Linked DNA regions of Caenorhabditis elegans. The protein of the gene in region 1 purifies or fractionates together with the protein of each later gene. This does not show direct contact. Each region holds a gene or a part of one and is shown on either strand. Other genes may lie near its edges.

Region 1 (7,954 bases):
ATATTTCGATCTTTGATATTTTGAATACATGAGATTGGAGGAAGAAGTAATTGATCAATTGAAGGCTTATAGTCCTCAACTGGTGAGTGTTGTTCAGACGATGAAGATGAATGTCCTGATCGAATAGAATATGGTACAGAGTCAGCACGTGGTGGATGAACTCTCAACGAATGTTGAAGATATGGTTGTGATGGTGGAACTGTTGATGGTGGGATTATCAATCGATTTATCTCATGTGTTCGTTCTTCGCGACTCAGTTTACAATCATGCGTTTCCAAATAGTTTTTGAGACTGTTGAGCTTATTTCGGATGTTGTTGCATTCCGCCATTTTTTTGTCGTTGCTATTTTTGAAGTCATTTACTTGCTGAAAATAGATCGTGAAATTTATCTTTAATACAATGTTGAAACTTCCTATTTTGAAGTCTAAAAAAACCTATAAGTGTGGTTTTTTTTCAAAATGAAACTGAAATATATTGCAAATCATAGTGAATTTATAAGTTAAAAAATGTTTGAAAGTTAATTATAAAAACTACTAAATTCTTGGAACTAGGCCCAAAACTGTTTTCTGAAATATTTAAAATTTTGAATTTTTTACCGGCATTTCTGAATCTAGAACATTGCAATCAATTTTAAATTTTGTTTTCTATGAAAACGTTCTGTTATTGAGTTAAGAAGATTCCAATAGAAATAGTCAAAACTGGGCCAGCAAGTTGTCAGCTGCTATAACTTTTTCCAGGGTGAGATTGCTAACAATTTTCCAACGGCAAAAATGTAGCCAAAGTTATCATCAACATTTTGCTTGTTGAAAGTATTTAGAGAAGCTGTATAGTTTTTGAGTTATGCTTAACTGAAAATTGCTTCAAAATTTAAGTGTTCACTAAAGGTAGATACCCCACTGCAATTAAAATATCCTAATTTTTTATTTGGTGAATGTAATTATTTTTGAATAAAACTATTACATCTTGCAATTCCTTCATCAAATCAATTCTCCTTTGCCGACATCTTGCAGCAGCTTCTTTATTCCTTTGACGACGTTTCAGCCTCTTATCATCATCGTCATCCTCCATATTATCCTGAAAATCATTGACTCTAAGTTTCCGTATTTTGAGGATTTGTTAATATTTTCTCTGATTACTCAAAAGATTATCCATTTCGTTATATTTCTTGTCAAGTGGCTCATTTTCCCCTCTGCTTGGGGTGGGTGTCTCTCTAAGCTTTTAGGTGAAGACTGGGAAGGTAGGGTGTACGAAAGAGCGAGGGATGTAGATACAATATTGCGTGATGACTAATATATTTACTTTGCATAGTGTACCTGGTGGGCAGGAAAGGGCGTCTATCTAAAAATGAAAAAAGAAATGGACGAAAGAAGGGCAAGAGCATTCAATTTGTAAATATATTATGAGTAGTGCCCAAAGTTTGACTACTGCAAATTTTAACTTTATCAGTTTTGAAGGCTCGGGTTGGAATTTTTGTTCAGCAAAACTAATTCAACTAAATGTTTTTTTCATAAATGTATTTCTAGGTAAGCGTAACAGACAAGAAAAAGTTGCCAAGCTCAGAAAGTTAGAAAAGTAACCAAGTAACTTAGAGCAAAATTAAACTAAAAAATCAAAGTCTACTGTAATTTTGAAATTTAGATTTATCAGTAACTTTTCAATGTCGGCAAACCTAATGTAAATTATGGGTAAATTCCACTGAATACCGTAATTTTCCTATTTGGCTTACATTCTTTTTTTCGAAATTTTTCAAAATTCAAAGACTTTTTGGTAAACCAAAAATGACCGTATTATCCAGGTTAAGGATATCAGGGAAATCTAACTTGAAATGGTACAAACCCCTTTCAATATATAATTGCTTTGACCTACCCGCCATAGTAACTTCCCTCGTCCATAAACGTTAATCTACAGTACTTCTATTTTTTCCGCGTCATACTTAATTGTTATCAGTACGTTAGTGGTGACTAATTTCGCAATGCCACTGTTAATTCTAGATGCTTCTTTTGCATGTTCATGAAACCATCACAAAAATACATAAGCAAGGTCGTATCAACCTTCAAAGCTCCATCAATCTTACCATATAGATCGCAGTTTTATTGTGATACTGCCACGTCATCTCAACGGTTTGAAGAAACACCGAAATGTTTGGAAACAAGAATTGAAAAAAAAAATAGACTAGAGTAGCAGAGAGAGGTTTCAGTGAAAATGAGTCAGATTCGAATGACTAGCTTTGGCTTGCAATGATGACGAAATTTGAGAGCGTTCTATGGGACAGTGTATGAGTCAAAAACGAAAAATGAAAACTGTGAGTCATTTGAGAGGAGTTGAAGGTGTTGCCATGAACATACACACTCGAATCTCCACCCACTGCCTAGTTCTCATACCTGCCTACTTGTTTTTGTCTACTGTGTCTCAAGTTTCTAATCGCAAACTCTTATATTTTTGTAATAGAAAGCAGCTATTCGCCCAATACGTTCGTTTATATTTATTTCTGGCTATACTTACAAAAATGCCCCACTGAAGTTTTGAAATATTCAAAAATCATGCTTGTCATGCCGGCATATACCACATTCAAAAAGTGAGTTTTGTCATTTAAACTTTATAATGGCTGTCTATCAAAAATAAATTATTGAGTGAATACGGCGAGCTAAACTTTGTTACTTAAAATAAGCATGAAGAACTTTCAAGTTGGCATTTTAATTTTCAAGTTGACGCAAATCGCTTAATTGTAAAAAATGTCAATGCTAGAATATTGTATTTTGAATGTTTCGGAGCTTATCTTTTCTTTTTTAATTTGAAATCCAATTATTCAAATTTTTCAAAAAACTTTCTTGGCTCATATATCTCGACGTATTTTTGAACTATTATTGTAAATCATGTTTTAAAAACTAGAGAAAAATACGTAACAATCTTTTTTGCTATACTTTGACGGCTCATATCGCGGCTGTCATAAGCTTTATTGAATATGTTTTACTATCATAATATAAAAAAATATTTTGCACGTTTTTTGTGAGTTGACAAAGTTTTGATAAAACCAAAGAGAACTGGGATATGCTCTGTCAAGGTAAAACGAGGGGGCAAGCCTAGTAGGAAAAATACGGCAAATTGCTAAAGTGTAGTAGTGGATATTCTAGAATAGCAGCAACTCGGTTTTAAACAATAATTCAAATTTTTAGTAAGTAACTTAACTAACCCATAACTAAGTAACCCATAACTTGTAGATAACTTGCCCACCTCTTCTTTAGGTTTTCTCCCAGCCGACGATTTCTTCACCGTGCTATACTGTACCATAGGCGATGAAGCTGCCGTCGAGTAGAAATCGGTGAATGTTCGATTGTAGATTTGATTAGTCGGGATTGCTGGGATCGGACCTGAAGTTTCCATGCTCGTGGACCTTAATTATATCTCTTGCTTACCAAATGGATGTGGCGTAAGTGGCGAGCTGATGTTCGGTGTGAGCGGAGATGGGATATCAGATGGTTGGAACTGAAATTAGTTTTATAGCACGAATATTTGGCATATCTATATATCTTCCTTCCACAATTTTTTATTCTACCTATTTAATTCAATTTAATTAATTTCAACTTCTAAACTCTTACATCCTCCTCATATCCATAATTAAAATTGTAACTATCGTCATATGGGTTCGCCCCAAACATCCATGATACGTCCTGATGAGTCATTATGTAATGACGTGACACTTGCAGTTCTAGAGGTGAGTGAGCAATGAGTATTATGATATTGATAAGCAAATCAAGAAAATAGTGGAACGGCAGTGATGATGAAGATGATGAAGTGTGTGTATAGGTGAAGGGGGAAAGAACGCCCCGCCCATTCTAGGAGGAAATACGGTATTTGTTTGACGATTGACTATAGGACTAAAGGCGGACTGTGAAGAAAGAGAGATGGTTTACGACTCAAGACACTTCAAAAACTATAATCTTTTTTTTGGCAATTAGATAGCAGTATAAGCAAAAATTTTCAAAAGACGTAGAGTGATAAAATGAACCGTAATAACCAGAATTCGTTGTCCTGATGACCTACATCAAGCAAAAATTAAAAGAAAACATTTATGTAAAACTCAGAATATAAAAAAGTTGTTTCACTTTTTGCTCTATTTCAGCGAATTATATCTGTATTGTTCCAACTGATGAAATATGTTTCAAATATTTTCGTAAATTTTGATAATTTAATACCGTATTTCTTCTATTAATATGGCTGCAATACTATTTTTCGATTCCTTCCCGCTTGCAATACTAATAGGGAGTGCAAGACTATTATGGAGTGCAATACTAATTTTCAGAACATTTTCTGACTTTGAGCTTACTAGTTTTTTCCTGAAAAAGCTCGAATCATATGTAAAAATTCAGAAAATTTGATTTTCATATAAGTTCAAAAACTTCAATCTCGTAGAAATGATGTGAAAACTGTTGCCAAATAGGCAAAAAATGTTGTTGAAATCCTGAAATTAGCGAGACGGGTTTGCAATACAAAAAAGTTAACGCAAGACTATTAGAGAGTGCAAGACTAATAGGGAGTGCAATACTAATTTTCGGAAGGTCTCCGAGGGGCAATACTAATAGGGAGTGCAAGTCTAATAGGGAGGCCATATTAATAGAAGATATACGGTAATTTAAAATCTACTTATCAAAGCCTATCAAAAACCAACAAAGCAGAAAGATGGGTATTCTACATTGGTGCGTTCGCTAGAAATAGTTTTTCTTTCAGTAAGTGTTGGAAATTGATAATTAAAAGGTTTCAATTGTCTTATCATTTTTTTATCAACTCTTCCTTTTTCACCGTCATTTGTCAAAATTCTCAGTGGGTTAAACTGATTTAGAACTGAAAAGAATACTGTTTCACACCTACATGTTCAAAATGAAATAGAATACCTGTGAATATAATTGTTCTGAGTTCACATTTGCCAGTTTATTACATTTTTTGTTAAAGTTTGTTTTATTTACAAATAAAGCTCAAAAATTATTTTTGTAAGTCTGGTCTTCAGCGACAATAATTCTAAGAAAACTGGTAAAAAGTTGTCAGCGCAAAGAAGGAACGCTAAAACACGTGATCTCTTTTTATTCGTAGGTCCCAAGCTCAAAGCAGAAGTGACAGATATTTTTTGAATATTTAAAAAATTTGCGTGCCTGTAATATTTTCACTGGCACCGAAAAAAGTTAACATATAAGTATTACTTATCTTTTTTCAACAGGTGCAAACAGGAAACAATCCAAAACGGATTAGCGAGTGCATGAGAGGTAAAGAAGATCACAAAAGTAACAATTGGGGGAAAGGTGAAAGATAGATAGATTACTGTAGAAGTGTGTAAACACGTCGGCATCTTCTTTTAAGATTCCTCGTGCACCACCTATCCATATACATTTAATCCATAACCAAATAGTTTTATTTTTCCGGAACTAAAATCCGGGGGAGATGGCTGGTAAGAACATTTTTGAGGGAAAAGATTCAAGAGCTAGGTAACTTTTTTCTGCATGACTTTTGCACAAAAGAATTAGTGAACGCTTTACTTTTTGGTTTGATACTTTCAGAATTAATATTAAACTAAATGAAAGTAAGCTACTATAATCTCATTTTTATATGGGAAAGAAGAGATCAACTGACAAATGTAAGGCTCGAGGTTGAGTGAAAAATGAGTGAAAGTAATGATTTAAAAGCTCTATCAAAACTCGTGATTATTAGCAAGGGAATAGTGGACTTTGAAGTAAACACTGAATTAAGGAAGATATTTGTGATGTATCATACCTGCAGGAAATCAGTTCCAAAGAATAAAGGGAGTCCATATGCATTTGATGGATAATATGGTGTACACGGAGTTAGAGGTGAGTTGTCGGTTTGTTGTTGGTGGATCTGATGGTGATGTTGTCGCGGTGGAACAATGACTGATGTCGGGTGCGCTTGGTTGATCGGGTTCCTGGGACCCAATTCGAAGTAGTGATTGGAATCGGAGCCAGAACCAGAGCTCGTGGTGGTGTTAGTCGTCGACGATGGTTGTTCGAACATTCCACTCTCTTATATAGCAGAGGTGCTGACACACGATCGGGGCCAAACACAGAAGGTGAGTAACCGGGAATAGAAGTGGAAAAAGTAGGGGGAAGAAAAGGGATTCTGATTCACGAAGATGACTCTTCTAGGTGATGATTAGCACAACACGGGTTGATTGTATCTTTGGACAGGGGACCAGCGATGACAAAAGTAAGTTGCGTGTGTGGGCAGGTGTTTGGTTGAGAGAAGAAAGGAGCGAGGGAAAGAGAAAACTGTCGAGAGCAACGGCCACCGCGAACGGTGCGCAAGCTCCGCCCACACCTTCGGGAGGACGACACCAAATTTGAATTTTCAAAGAGCCACCGCCAATGATATCACCAAGAAAACGCCGGCTGGTGACGGGGTGGCCGACGGAACTGTGTATTAAAGTGCACGAGAGTTTTTGATAACTTTTGATTTCGAATATGTGACAATTGACTAGATGGTGGGTGTACGGTATTTATGTAACATACAAAAAAAAACAGAAACTGTCGAGAAAGGAGACAAAAAAGGCGAACCATTGGGTGCTTTCTGTTTAGATATTGATGGTGAGTCAGCAACATCGAAGACGAGATGGGAAACAAAAAATGGTATTGTTTGGGATAGAAGAACCGGAGACGTCGTCGTCTTCCCTTCTTTTATTCTACAAAAGTATGACATTCCGGGGAGCAGGTGCTCTCTTTGCCAATTCAGCTAATTATTTCTTCTGTGAAGCTTCCCGAGTTTCTAACTCAAATAACCCAATTGGCATTTGGCTCGTTGATTGCAGAGAAGAGGTGATGAATACCGATGATTCAGTGCGATGCGTGCACGCGGAACGAAGGATGACACTAACAGGTATGTGTCGTTTGTTGACCCAAAAGCAACAGCAACATTTAAATATTTGGATGGATGTCTAAGTCTATAAATTTAACAGGCAATAAACTTTTAATAACCTTTTTGGATGAGAGGGGCCTAGCTCAAATAAAATAAAATCTAAACGTTTACAGCTTATATCAGTTGTCATTTGTTCTATTGAGAAATTGCCAACTGACAACATTTTTCAAAAATTATTTGTCTGTCGCTTGAATTTACTTATTCACTAATATCTTCACAATGGACCGAGCTGTTACTTTTTTAAAATGGCGCAGTAGAGTAGTAGAGGACAAATAGAGGAAATATTATAATTTAAATTTTGAAATTGCATGCCATACTAATGAAAGACATGAGGTAGTCATCAAACATTGGGTGCAAAATAATCATTTACTTGTTTCAAGAAAGTATTTCCAATTTCTATGAAACATGCTATACTTTCGTTATGATCTGAAGCTAGGTTGCATTTTGAAAACAACATTTGAGCTTTCTGAAACTCAGTCCAATCAAGGGCTGTACAGCCAGCTTCTGCTGACATCGATCTTGATTAGACTGACACCGAGCTCAATAGATTTACCAGAGCCAGGAACTTATATTGATGCGATCTCAAAAAAGCTCAGCTTCCAAAACATTTTATCATATTTTCAATATGACTACCCGTTACGGAAATTTTTTAAAAATATTTACAAGTTCAAAACCGAGCTACAAATATCTCCAAAAAGATTTTCAATAATTCATCAATTTACTCGAAATATTTTAAATCAGGGGACGTTTTGGCCAGTAAATCATGAAATGTTAACTTCCAAGCTCCAATAAAAAGACTACCAAATCTCTGAAACTTTTCCAGCTTCTGATGTTTAAAATTCAAAATGTTCTGTTTGTACAGTACAACAGTTTCACACTTCTTTTTTCCCAAATCTTTTCAATTTCCTTCTACTCCCTTGTTTCTTCCCGATCGTGCCCTAGATAGTACTCCAATCACAATAGACGCAGAAAATGCACTTTTTCCACCTTTTCCCTTTTTCTTGAATGACGTGATACCGGTGTGTGCGTACCGGTGCCG
Region 2 (3,990 bases), on another chromosome or scaffold:
ACATTGTCATTATCAGGCTTTCGAAAAAATTCTACAGAGCTATACTTTTTTTTTATTTACTTAAAAACTTTCTTTAACTGGAGAAGTCTGAAGAATTAATTACTAAGTTCTTTGAACATTGCTGTAGCAAAACAAAGAAAAAGTCCTACAGGGGTTCTAGAACATTCCAGAATTTTCCCCAATTTTTCAGTTCTTGAAACTTCCAGAAGGTACTAAAACAAAAATAGTTTCACAGAAAACTTGAATTTCCCTCAAAACAATGTTCTCATAAATTTTGAATTTCCCGCCCAAATTTTTAAGGGTCTCACCACAATGGGTCTCAGGTCTCACCACAATGGGTCTCAGCAAGGTCTCACCACAACAATTCCAGAATTTTCACGAATTTTTCAGAAGGTTCTAGAAAATTCAAGAATTTTTTTTCGAATTTTCCAGAAGGTTCTAGAACATTCCAGAATTTTCTCGAATATTCCAGAAGGTTCTAGAACATTCCAGAATTTTCTCGAATATTCCAGAAGGTTCTAGAACATTCCAGAATTTTCTCGAATATTCCAGAAGGTTCTAGAACATTCCAGAATTTTCTCGAATTTTTTAGAAGCTTCTAGAACATTCCAGAATTTTCTCGAATTTTTCAGGGGCTTCTAGAACATTCCAGAATTTTTTCGAATTTTCCAGAAGGTTCTAGAACATTCCAGAATTTTCTCGAACTTTCCAGAAGGTTCTAGAACATTCCAGAATTTTCTCGAATTTTTCAAAAGGTTCTAGAGCTTTCCAGAATTTTCCAGAAGGTTCTGGAACATTCCAAAATTTTCCCGAAGTTTCCAATTTCCCTTCCAAAGACGGATAGTCAATTTTTCCCAAACTACAATAATCCTACAGTACTCCTACAGTACCTCTCCAGTACTACTACAGCACCCCGACCATATCCCACTACTAACCCCAAACCTATATCTCTTCAAAAGACAAAAGCTCAATTTTTCCTAAACTACAGTAATCCTACAGTACTCCTACAGTACCTCTACAGTACTACTACAGTACCCCGGCCATATCCCACTACTAACCCCAAACTAATATCCCTCCAACAGCCGAAAACGCCTTGCCTTTGTAAGCTATGACGTCACAGACTACAAACTACGGCACAAACGGAATTATTTTTTTTATATATAGGTTTTATATATAGGATTTTTAATACGAGCATTTGGCTTCCCAAGCTTTCATAATCGCGACGAGGCCTAATTGTTGATTTATCGGGGTATGTTTTCTCATCAAATTCTTTGTACCGCGCATGTATGAAACATTTGAACAGGTGTGTCCTTGTGATCTTCATGGGATGTAATTTCGGTAGTGGTTTGATCCAAAAGCTCAATTCAAAATGGAAACCATGGAAATGAATATTTTAACGCTAACAATTTAACTCTGAGATGCACTTTTTCAGAACAACAGCACACTTTAAAAGTTATGCGATCGATTGAAAAATTGATTAAAATTGATTAATCAATTTAATTGGTGATTTTAAAACTTCGAGTACTGTAGCCAAAAGTGGTTGCGTACTTGACACATTTGACGCGCAAATGCACAGAGACTCCATTTTGGGATTTTCAGATCGTTTTTTTTAAAGTTTACTCGTTTCTCTTCGTTTTTTGTTCGTCAATTTATTTTTTTGTATAAGAAAAATATAAAAATACTAGTTTTAAGTAATTATATGGAAAAATCCCAAAAAATGGATTTTTCAGACTTGAAATTTGTTCAAAAAATTGACCTACCAAACAAACAAACATAAAAAACATTTAGCGCTAAATATTCAATTTTCGTTGAGAATTCTTTGTTTTCCATGTTCACATTCACTTCTTCCAAATTTTCCTCGCGTTTTCCATTAATAAAATTATATTTTTACAGATAAAATCTTAAAATGAGCGAAGCTCCTCACTCTTCCAGCATGGCGGATAGCAATTCCACAGTAGAACAATATCGTTCGTTGAAACGGTGAGTAATTGAAAATTAGATTCTAAAAATCATGATTTTCCAGGAAAATGATCGAGAAAAAGGATCTGATGAGAAACAATCGAACAGCACTTCGCGCATGTATCCTGTTCAATTGTCTCCTCGGAACTTCAATACGAGACGCTTATAATCAATTTTGCCGAGCCGTTGGATCCGATGTTATGGAATATCGAGAATACGAGTTCTGGTTCTATCAATTTAAAAGAGGAGATGCTGATTTCAGCGATGCAATTAGGTATTTTCAGAGACTTCAAAGAAATCAATAATTTCATTTTTAAAAAATTGATTTTCAGTTGGAATCCAAACACAATAAAGCTTGATGAATTGCCAATCGAAGTGATTAATACGATTTCCAGCTTCTCTATGCCAATGGAGAGGTTTGTTAGCCAGTTTTATTCAAATTTAAAATGAAAATTTTCAGACTAACGCTTCGAAAAGTGTCTAAAAACCTGCGCACACTCATCGATTCTGAGCCGTTTTGTTTCCAAAGGATTATAGTACGAATTGGACATCGAACATCGTATCTTCAATTGGACGGTTATCCGGGAATTGAATATATTCATTGTGGTGCCGATTGCAATGTTTTATATGGAAAACGTGATAAATATGTTAAAAACAAGAATCACGTTGAATATGCTCTGACGGAAGCCATTCAATTGATGAGAAATTCAAATAATCACAGCAAAGAGTTCCACGTGAGAGCAGAACGATCAAACGATCAGGAATTGTCAATGGTTCTCAGGAAATTTTTCGATTCTGTGGAAATTGAGCTTTATGCGAAGAAAATTGTCGTCAGTGGATTCAGTTTTGCCGATACATCTTCGGTTCTTTGCCATTTCAAAGCGGGATTTCTCGAGGAAATTCAGGTGTTACCGGGTTCCGGTGGCCCGTGGACCAACGTACTCGTCGAAATGGAACAATACAAGAAGGCAAAAGTATTGAAGATTTGCACGGAATTTCCAGTTTTACTGGATATCGAGGATTTGCTGCATTTCCGACGGTTCGAAATTGCGATAAAATCAGATTTCACTGAAAGAATGGCCAGAAAAATTCGCGATGTAAGTTTCCATTTTAATTTTCGTAAGTTTTAAATTTAATTTAATTTATTTTCCAGGTTCTCACCAATTCTGAACATTTCGAATATGCCCACATAATAACTCAAGATCTTCACCATCGGACAGTCATTAAATTCTTCAATCGAAATGCTGAAAATGTATTCTGGAATTATGGATCCATGAATTATAATAACAAGAAGCGCCTCTTCCACATTGAGTACAATCACCGACAATTTGTAATCAAAAAATTAAACATGTAGATAATCAAACAAAAATTGCCTTCTTCTCGAAAATGTATGTACTGATATTTGATTTGCACACTTACCCCTTGTTTTACTCTTTTTACTCTGAGATTTTTCTTGCAATAAACCTTTGTTCAGGTTAAAAATAAAGCACATTATCACGAAAAAAAAACTGTCAAAGAATAACTGAATTCACAAAAAAGTTTCGGTTCTTGCAAATTTTCAAATTCAGTTTTAAATTGTTCCATTGTCATACACTTTAGCAGACCTGCTCATATTTAACATTATACAGAAAATGGAGATAAATTGGAAATAAAAAATATTGATTCATCATTTCTGATGAACGGAAGAAGTCGGGTTTATTGCCTCTTGGGTTATACAGTCCTGCTCCCCGAAAAATTTACTGTTTCACCCAGCTAGCAAAAACACTGAAGAATTCTCGAGTGACTGTTTTGTCATTTAATTTGAACTAAACATCAGCTCCAATGACCTTCTCTGAAATATTTTTGTCTCTAAAAACCTGAAAATATATGCAGAAACAAAAAAAACTAAAATTGTCGAATTTTAAGTTTTTTATAAAAACCCCAAAAATGGCAGTACATTTCAAAATTCGGCTCTTGTCTTGTATAGCCCTGCTCTCGAAAAAATTTACTGTTTCACTCAGCTAGGAAAAGTATTTTCAAAAATTCTGACTT

Evidence for each region. Proteins that work in one complex are often made in the same cells at the same time.
Region 2: the proteins of fos-1 (region 1) and fbxa-215 fractionate together in Caenorhabditis elegans (co-fractionation; one large-scale study listed by BioGRID). This does not show direct contact.

What each region holds. Positions count from the first base shown.
Region 1 is NC_003283.11:6,006,630-6,014,583, reverse strand, and holds the start of fos-1 (Transcription factor fos-1), read right to left. Parts: upstream 6,019-7,954; coding exon 5,761-6,018; intron 3,892-5,760; exon of another isoform or gene 3,837-3,891; intron 3,484-3,836; coding exon 3,414-3,483; intron 3,369-3,413; coding exon 3,232-3,368; intron 1,304-3,231; exon of another isoform or gene 1,181-1,303; intron 1,075-1,180; coding exon 961-1,074; intron 366-960; coding exon 1-365. UniProt on the Caenorhabditis elegans protein: Developmentally regulated transcription factor which binds and recognizes the enhancer DNA sequence 5'-TGA[CG]TCA-3'.
Region 2 is NC_003282.8:13,664,813-13,668,802, reverse strand, and holds fbxa-215 (F-box domain-containing protein), read left to right. Parts: upstream 1-1,893; 5' UTR 1,894-1,906; coding exon 1,907-1,980; intron 1,981-2,023; coding exon 2,024-2,233; intron 2,234-2,291; coding exon 2,292-2,375; intron 2,376-2,419; coding exon 2,420-3,056; intron 3,057-3,112; coding exon 3,113-3,313; 3' UTR 3,314-3,439; downstream 3,440-3,990.